Linked DNA regions of Arabidopsis thaliana. The protein of the gene in region 1 interacts with the protein of each later gene in a pairwise test. Each region holds a gene or a part of one and is shown on either strand. Other genes may lie near its edges.

What was found.
Region 2: the proteins of AT2G37220 (region 1) and AT5G25490 interact in a two-hybrid assay, tested with the Arabidopsis thaliana proteins (one large-scale study listed by BioGRID).

Annotation. Positions count from the first base shown.
Region 1 is NC_003071.7:15,633,843-15,638,461, forward strand, and holds AT2G37220 (RNA-binding (RRM/RBD/RNP motifs) family protein), read right to left. Parts: upstream 2,681-4,619; 5' UTR 2,490-2,680; coding exon 2,127-2,489; intron 2,013-2,126; coding exon 1,911-2,012; intron 1,640-1,910; coding exon 1,301-1,639; intron 1,204-1,300; coding exon 1,138-1,203; 3' UTR 1,092-1,137; intron 1,005-1,091; 3' UTR 624-1,004; downstream 1-623. Other genes in the region: AT2G37230 (Tetratricopeptide repeat (TPR)-like superfamily protein), read right to left, coding at 3,335-4,619. UniProt on the Arabidopsis thaliana protein: Could be involved in splicing and/or processing of chloroplast RNA's.
Region 2 is NC_003076.8:8,874,202-8,878,548, reverse strand, and holds AT5G25490 (Ran BP2/NZF zinc finger-like superfamily protein), read right to left. Parts: upstream 2,229-4,347; 5' UTR 2,013-2,228; intron 1,917-2,012; 5' UTR 1,911-1,916; coding exon 1,489-1,910; intron 1,301-1,488; coding exon 1,210-1,300; 3' UTR 1,175-1,209; exon of another isoform or gene 990-1,174; 3' UTR 645-989; downstream 1-644.

The DNA.
Region 1 (4,619 bases):
ACTCTATCTTGACGTCAAATTGTAAATTATATACGAACAAGACATGTTTATGAATTAAAAAATAGTTTTCTAAAATTTCCAAGACATTTCAATGTTTTGAAAATTTTAGCTGCTGAATTTTGAATGATTTTTGTGAGGATATTTCGATGTTTTAATTGATTTGGATGAAGATATTACCTCCAAAATCACTTATTTTAACACTTATAATGTTAAAATTCTTTTAATGCAAAATCATTTGTATCCAGACGTACCATCTAAATTCATATACAGTTGTCGACAAAAAAAAAAAAAAAAAATTCATATACAGTTTGGGCCCAAACGAACAACATCTAATACATTTGCTAAGTTTCATGTAAGCAGCATCTAAGTCATAACTCAGAATACTATGTCATAGGAGACAGACCAATTGAGCTTAATGGACTAAATGTAGAAAAGCCCATTTTCGTAGTATTCAATCGCAATTACTTTCTATCCAAAACCGGAGAGTTTTGACACTATGGTTCATTACATTCAACATTTGGGCTTTGTGATTACCCAAATTGGAACCAGCTAGTTATTTGATCAATGGAATTATACGGCTCACGGCTGAACGCAAAGAATGATATCGTTTTGATGGAACAAACTGGCAAGATAGTGTTCATTCCACAAATAGTATTGGTTCGGTTTTAAACATTGCATGATTTGAGTTTTAACCGGTTTTCAAGTGTGTTCATATTCATTTGAGCAGAGGATCAAATAAACAGAGAAGCATTAGGAAGAAGAGACCACGATATAGAGAGAAAAAAAAATTGAATCAAAACCAAAGCGAAGCAGTCAATGGCAGCATTCAGACAGACAAGAACATGGTCTCTCCAGTTTCTATCTTAATTATACGTTTCTCAAAAAAAAAAAGACCATTCCTTTACGACCTTCTTGCATCCAAGGCAACAAACATAGGCGAAGCTAAGAGCTTAGTACCGTCTGAAACTGCCATCATCTCACAAACCCTCTTTACTTCGAAGCGCCTGTTACAATTTCACAACTCCATACATCAGTAATCAAGTAGTTTAGTGCGAAAAGCCAATCTATAAGTACAATGGTTAATATCATACCCTCCAGAATATGCGTTTTTGAGAATAGGAAGTCATAGATTGGTGCTCAATATTGGCGCCTTGGAGGCCTAGCCTCAGCTTCCGAGACTCTAATTTGTCTACCGTCCAAATCCTATAGGCCACAAGTAAAAGTATATCAAGAGTTGTTTGATTTGATCACAACAATGTAAGTGTATATTGGTATAAGTATGAGTACAAAAGATACTTACAGCACCATCCAAGGACTTGATGGCATTTTGGACCTCTTGAGAAGAGTCGTATGTCACAAATCCAAAACCCTTGGATCGACCACTGTCCCTGTCGTAGATGACTCTGGCCTCAACAACCTTTCCTTGCTCCGAGAACAAACTCTCAAGAGCCATGTCATCAACTCCCCAAGAGAGGTTACCCACATAAACACGGTTTCCTGAACCAGCACCAGAACCACCACCTCCTCCATATCCAGAACCTGAGCTTCCAAAGCTGCTCCTAGGTCCTCTGGAGAAACCATCTTCCCTCTTTGGTGGTGGGGGACCAGCATTGACTCTCAAAGGTCTACCATCCAACTCCTACAAATTCACATCAAAATGGTTAACCGAAGCAACCAAACCCTAATACAATAAGAACAACAACACAGAGGTCCAAGTTTTATCTTTAGAAGCCACAAGTTTGAAGATTGCATTCAAACACAGCTTATCACAGAAACATAGAACAACATAAACACATTAAGCACACACACCAAAACACAAACGCATACCAACAAGATAAGATAAAGCTAGTCCTCAGTGAATTCATATTCAACAATCGAAGATAGAGTAAGGTAGAGAAGTATATTCTTACATAGCCATTGAACTGCTGAGCAGCTGCCTCAACTTCAGAAACTGAAGACATAGTCACGAATCCAAAACCTCTGCTTCTTCCTGTAATTTTGTCATAGATTACCTACAAGACAAATAACAAAAAAAGGAGTAATGGTATCAATTTATCAATAAAAACCCTAAAAGAACAATACTTTCTTCTATAACTCACAAATTGGGGAAAACCCTAAATCCATACCTCAACCATCTCAACATTTCCGGCACTCTCAAAGAGCTGAGCGAGCTGAGCACTGTCAACGTTGAAAGGAAGGTTACCAACGAAGAGTTTAAGGTCAGCAGAGAAAGATTGCTCTTTTGGCGGAGCGACGTCAGCGAAACCATCTTCTTCCACCTCGAACTCTGAGGTAATCGCAACGTTACGGGCGAAGCGAGAAGCGGGAGAGTTCCATTTGGCGGCGATGGAGAAGGAAACGGAGTCGGAATTGAGTTTAAAGGAGAGGGAAGGAGATAAGAGGGAAACGGAGGCAGGTCTGGAGACGCCGAAAGGAAGAGATTTAGGGTTGAAGGAAGAGAGAGCGAGAGACGAAGCTGAAGCAGCCATGGGAAGAAGAAGGGATAAGGCTTTTAGGGGTTTTTGGGTGAAGAAGATGATTTTGAGAGTGGAGATAAGATGCAGTGTCTTTGGTATTTATGGGGCAAATGAATAAATATATTAAGTTCTTTGCACAAATATCTCAAACTTATTTTATTTTGTAATTTTACCTCAAACTATTTTTTAGGCTCAATATTCTGATTTCTGTTTTTTTTGTAAGAATTTTTATTTTCTTTGCAACTATTTGTTTCCACATAAATGATAGGAATTATTTTATTTTTCGCTTGTTTAGTAGTAATATACAAAAAATTTAATACATGTCGCAAATTGTTTCGTTTTGCATTTTAGTATGCTTATTGTATTTACTTTTCTAAATATTTTTTGTGATAAAGTTATGTGCTTTTCTCACTTAAATTAGTTGTGTTTGGTTGTGATTTTATTGGGACAGTCTACTAACTACTTGTCATAATATGAAGTGTGATGATAGATGAGATGAGATCTGGACCGTCGAATTTTGGATGGACAGTGGAGATGGCACGTCTCATGCTGAAGCTAAAAATCTATGAGAAGATAAGATATTTTACTAACAGCCAATGGAAGATGCAACTCTTGTTCCAAACACAAATCTTCGAAAAAAATCTTTTACGTATTTAACGTTTTCAAGAGGTTAAGAAACTAAATCAGGAACGATACAATTCCTACCAAAAAGAAAACACAGAATGATCATACAAACGCGTCCTTCAAAACAAGTTTCAAAAAAGGATTTATTTGGAGAAGATAACTGAAGTTGTTGACTTGACTTGAACCAACAATGAAAGGAGAATAACTTAAGAAAGAATCACTTTGTCAAGTTTCTATAGAGAAACATTGTTTTGTTTCTTGATTCCTTGTCCCTTCTTGATCATTCTAGAAAGAACATCAGCTTGCTTTGTGTTCCCTTCTTGGTTCAAGCTTTTGATCAGTTCATCAGAGCTCTTCCAATCTGTTGAACTTCCTTTCTCCATGATCTTACAAAGAACTGAGTACGCATTCAGAGTCTTCCCAGCTCCTAAAAGCGCATCCAACACTTTGTCGTAGCTCGAAAACTCTAAGCTGAGATCTCTCTCCAACCCGAAATCTAACAGCTTCAATGCTGCAATCGTCTTCCCTTTCTCGCTTAAGACAGATAAGAGGCTGTCCAGATCAGCTGTGTGTCCGTTTTGGTTCAGAAGATCTATACGCCCCAGGGCTTCTTCTACGTGTCCTCTCATTAAGAGGGCTTCCAAGATCTTGGCAATCAAATCCATGTTGTCTTCGATACCAACGTTTTTATCTATCATGATCATCATCACACGGCTTGCTGTCTGCACCCTACCATCCTCGAACAAACTCTCAATCACTGACCTGAAAAGCGATGAGTCTGGGACATGCCCGTCTTCGACCATGCTGTCCAGTGCGGTTTTCGCGTCTCCAGGCTCACCTTTGCTCATGTAGCTCTTGATGAGCAGCTCATATGCGTTTGATTCTCTAGGGACACCTCTCCTCGACATTATCTTCAGAATCTCGTAACTAGAGTCTGGGTTTCCTTCCTTTGCATGACCACGGATTAGATTGTTTAAGGCATCTTGGTCTTGGACACCTCTTTTCATCAGCTGCCTGAAAAGCACTTCTGCTTTTGCCGTTTGGCCATTGTTGCACAAATACTCGATTATTGGGTTGTAAGCGCTGGGCTCCATTTCCAGAGTATCCTGATGCCTCAATATGATTTCTTTCTCAATAAGCGTATCTAAAAGCTTGATAGCACGATTGTATGCACTAGCCTTGCATTGGTTCTCAATCAAAACCCCATAGTGTCCCGCCTCTGCTGGAACATTCAGTGTAGCCATGGCTTTGAGCACCTCAGTGGCTGCCGCCATATCCCCTGCTTTGCTCTGAGACACCAAAAGCTTAAGAAAGATCGAGTTATCTTTTGGAGCAATGTGTTTCGCCATCATATTCTTCAAGATATTCTTAGCCTCCACCATTTTCCCTGCATCACACAGACCAGGCAACAACGTCGAATACGTAGTAGCATTAGGCTCAATACCAGAAGATCTCATCTCCTCAAAGATTCTCAACCCATCATCAACTCGGTCCACCGCAAGATATCCTTTAATCATC
Region 2 (4,347 bases), on another chromosome or scaffold:
CAAACAGTACAAAAATAAGCAGGATCAAAAGTTGAATGGTAAATATGAAAAATGCGTTACTGATTTTTTTCTTTCTTACTTACATTTTGAAAACAAATTTTTAAGTATACCACCCATTACAAACAATTAAGGAAACGGTCATCGATCAGTTGCAATATTGTTGTTTATGACAAAACTTCATTGCAAAAATCTTCTTATGGGTTTTGTTCGACTGCTCGAATGTATGTGCGAAAAGATGGCCTTGAATACGCAATTTAATATATAGTGAAATCCGTATTTGTATTTAATTAAAATTAATTTTGCAACTTAATGTTACCAAGAAAATAAATTAGAATTCTAAACTAATTAATGATATATAACATAATTAATATTTTCTGATAACTATTCTCATTTTAGAGTGGAACTCATACATTTTCATTCGATTTGGTGGTAAGCTCATTATCACCAAGCCACATCATAATATGAATGCTCATGCATATTTTTTTTTGAGGCATTGGACAAAAGGTTTCGTTGTGGTCCATGCATCTACCCATTTCAAACGGTTACTAGAGTTTGTGTTTGGTTTAACGTAAAACTACATTCCTACTACAAATTATATAACAAAATTTTAATTGCATATATAATAACATTTGCATGCAATTTGGATTTGCGGCCACAGAAGAAGTTCTCAACAGCTCTCAGCCTCTCGTACGTTCAACAACTCAAGTGTTTCAAACTTAGATGAGAATCGTGATTGCGGAATCAGAAGGAAACAACTTTATCAGAAATAAGAATACATTCAAACAAACTTACATACTAGCTAGGAGACCGATATCAGAACAAAATGCTTCGGAAAACTCTCGACATGCTTACATTCTAACATAGGTCTGACTACTACGAGATATAAAACGAGTCAAATCTAAGAAATTAAACAAATCAAGAGATTAAGGGCGGTCGGTATCTTGCTTCGATTCTTCACCTTTCTGCTCTCCTCTAATGCTTCCAGAGTACTAAAAAAAATAATCAAAAAGATACGTACGTTAACGTTAAAGTACTATCGTTAGTGTATTTCACACTACTATTTAAACTTTTACGATATAATAAAGTTGTAAATGTTAACAAATTCTATCATCCAAATATATATGTCGAACTGTTTCTGATCAGAAGTTAAGACTATTGTTGAAACGAAAAGTACTTGGAAATGATGAAGAAGGTAGGAGGACTAAATGACTAATAGGGTGGTTCGGTGGCAAGTTCCTTTGGTGCGTTACACCTGAAACACTCTGACCTGCTTGCGAAGTTATGTTCGTTACAGCCTGACCTATAATATACAAATTAAACCAATCAGTTTCTACGATATGCATATACATTAATACAATTTAAACGGTCGTGTTTAGCTTACGTAAGCCAGCATGCATGTTTCTTTTTTGGCTTTAAGTTTTAACCATCAAAACATATTATTGCAAAAAAATAACATCAATACATAGAAACAATCAAACAAAAAAGTACCTTGGGCAAATCCAATCTCCAGATTTCCAAGGAGAACGGCCCGTACCACCACCACCACTACTGCTGCCGCCAAAACCAAAAAGGCCACGTCTCGGACCAACATTCATGTCCATAAACCCGGTTGTTGCAGCAGCACTTGAGCATGAAAACTCATCTTTTGCGGCACCACACTTGAAACAACTGGACCTATTGGCAAAATTATGTGTCCCACAATCCCCAAGGTTGCAATACCAATCCCCGGGTCGCACATCGGGCCCGGTGTTGAAACCGAAGGAGCTACTAACCGGACGGCCACCAAAACCGCTGAGTAAATCGGTACTGATCCCGCCCGGTCTAGGCTCTCTACAACGTTGGCATGAATCCCTCCTCTGGAAGTTGAGGTGGCTACACAATCTGCAGTTCCAATCTCCCGGCCTATTCATCTTCTTCTACAACACCATAGAAAATAATAATTAAGTAACAAATTACACAAAACTAAAGACATATGTATCTACAAATGTAACTTATATATATGTTATGATTACCTGAGGGTAATGGAAACGAAAAAGAGAGTTGAAATGAGTGTAAGAGCTTATGAAGGTGTTGTTGTACTCTCACAATATATTTATATGGACAAAGCAAAAGGCCCTTCCTTTAACAACCGGGAACATTTTTTGAAGTGAAATTAGGGTTTCAATTGGTTTTTACTTTCTTATTTTGCTACAGCTTTAATGCATTTCCCTTTAACATTTGGGTTTCTCCGTAAACTACGTTATTCCCAAAAGAAACAAATTTATCTATTTATATATATCGAGGACTTTAAATTAATTTATCATTTCTAGACCCCACTATTTTAAACAAAAAAAAGAAACACAAGGTTAAAGCTTTAGATATCAGCCGTTTTCATTTTGCGTCAGCTTCACAAAAGCTAATACTGGCAAATTCAATACCATTTACTTGACAGATGTATATATCTCCATATTTATCAACGTACGTACTTATTTTAAGACACCTAAATATTTTAAAATTAATCAAGACGTATTCTAATAGATTATTATAGTGCCAAATTATAATCCGAGTTTAAATTCGGAAGTGTGCATGCATGGGTTGTAAACGAACTTTTAATTTAAATTGAAAGATCAAAACAAAAATATGGGAGGAAAGTAATTTTAAAACACTAGTCCTAAATTCAAAGAGAAGTATTTACAAAAGAACCAAAATCTTACTGGTTGTTTATACAAGATAACAAACTAAAAAGTTTACCAGATTACATACCAAGATGACTAAAAAATATCTCTTTAATTAACTCTTGCTTTTAAAATGGTGGTGTGGAAATATAGATATGTAAACCTATATCTTTGGGGGCACGAAGGAGAGTGAATCCTATTTTATTGGTCTCGAGGTTTTATAACACTTGAATTGATAATGAATAAGAAGAACTAAACTAGAGATACTAGAAATCTCCGACTATATGGTAATATGGGTATATTAATATAGTTTTCTTGGACTTACTATATAATTTTTGACTAACATGTGGTTTCTCTATGAGACAAAATGAAATTTTCACTAAATTTCACAAACTAAACTAAAGCAAAGCAAAGAAAAGAAAAAAAGAAAAAAAAGATTCTTAGACCTTATTGGGACCCCAGTTCGTATATGCTTATAGATTTCTTGTTAACTGTATATGCACATATAGATTGACTAACGATGAGACAACTAAAGCTGATATATTCTCATTATCTATTTCGAGCATGTACCACTTTCATATTATCAATCGCAACTTCGTGGTATAACTTTTTATGTAGATAATTAATAATCACATGTATCTATATATTGATGGTCGATGGAGGAGGTACATGGATGTATAATATGCTCTTGTGTGTGTCAGGAGAAAAAGGATGTAGCATGAAGTAAAAAACTCTCTAAACTGTTAAAGCAAAAGTTGCATGGCAACAGTTTCAAGGAACGTATATGTTCCCTTAGCCGCGGAAAATTATAAACGTCAAAGGAATAACTTCTCTTTTCTTTAATTCAATTAGTCTTGTTACTAATATTCAAGTACATCCATCAGAACTTATTCGTTCGTGATTTTCAAAACAAAGACTTAAGAAAATCATGAAAAATTATAGATTAAAACAAAAACAAGAATCATTAAATGGGAGGGAAAAGGCTTTGAGGTTCGTATCTTGACCATCTACGTGTCCTTTTGATTCGTCTACTACAACTACAAGACAGTTTCATTCACTTTTTCTATTTAACCCTATGATTTTTATTTCCCTTACTATATATCCCACATACAAATTATAAATTGTCGTTTGTGGGTACACTGCAATCGCTTTTTTTACCGTCAAATCACCCTTTCCATTGTGGTATACTTGTCTCTCTAAAGTAAGAGTCAGCTATAAGATAATAAGACGAAAAATCCACAGTAAGATGTAACAGAAGAATGCCACGAATGACTAAAAGTTATATAACATATGAATTTATTTAACTTTCGAGATATATATAGGGCAGTAGAATACACCAGCAGTAAAAATATACTTAAATAAATGAAGAACAATATCTTCTAATATTTTTTCAATGTAAAATGTAAGATAATGTAGTGCATATATATTCCCATATATACATCCCAGCTCTAATTTTCATGCACTCCACCCCCATACAAGTGTTTTGTAATATTCATAAACTTTAAGGTTCCAACTCTAACCTTAAAGTTGAGATGCTACCATTACAATGTATAGGAATTAAAATATAGGTTATGGGGATTAAATATTATACGCATTATATCTATCCAACTCAGTCCATGGCTCCGAGCGTAATGCCTTATCCATAAGTCGCCGTAAAAGCTAACTAACTCGACGTCTCGACATTGAAGAAAAA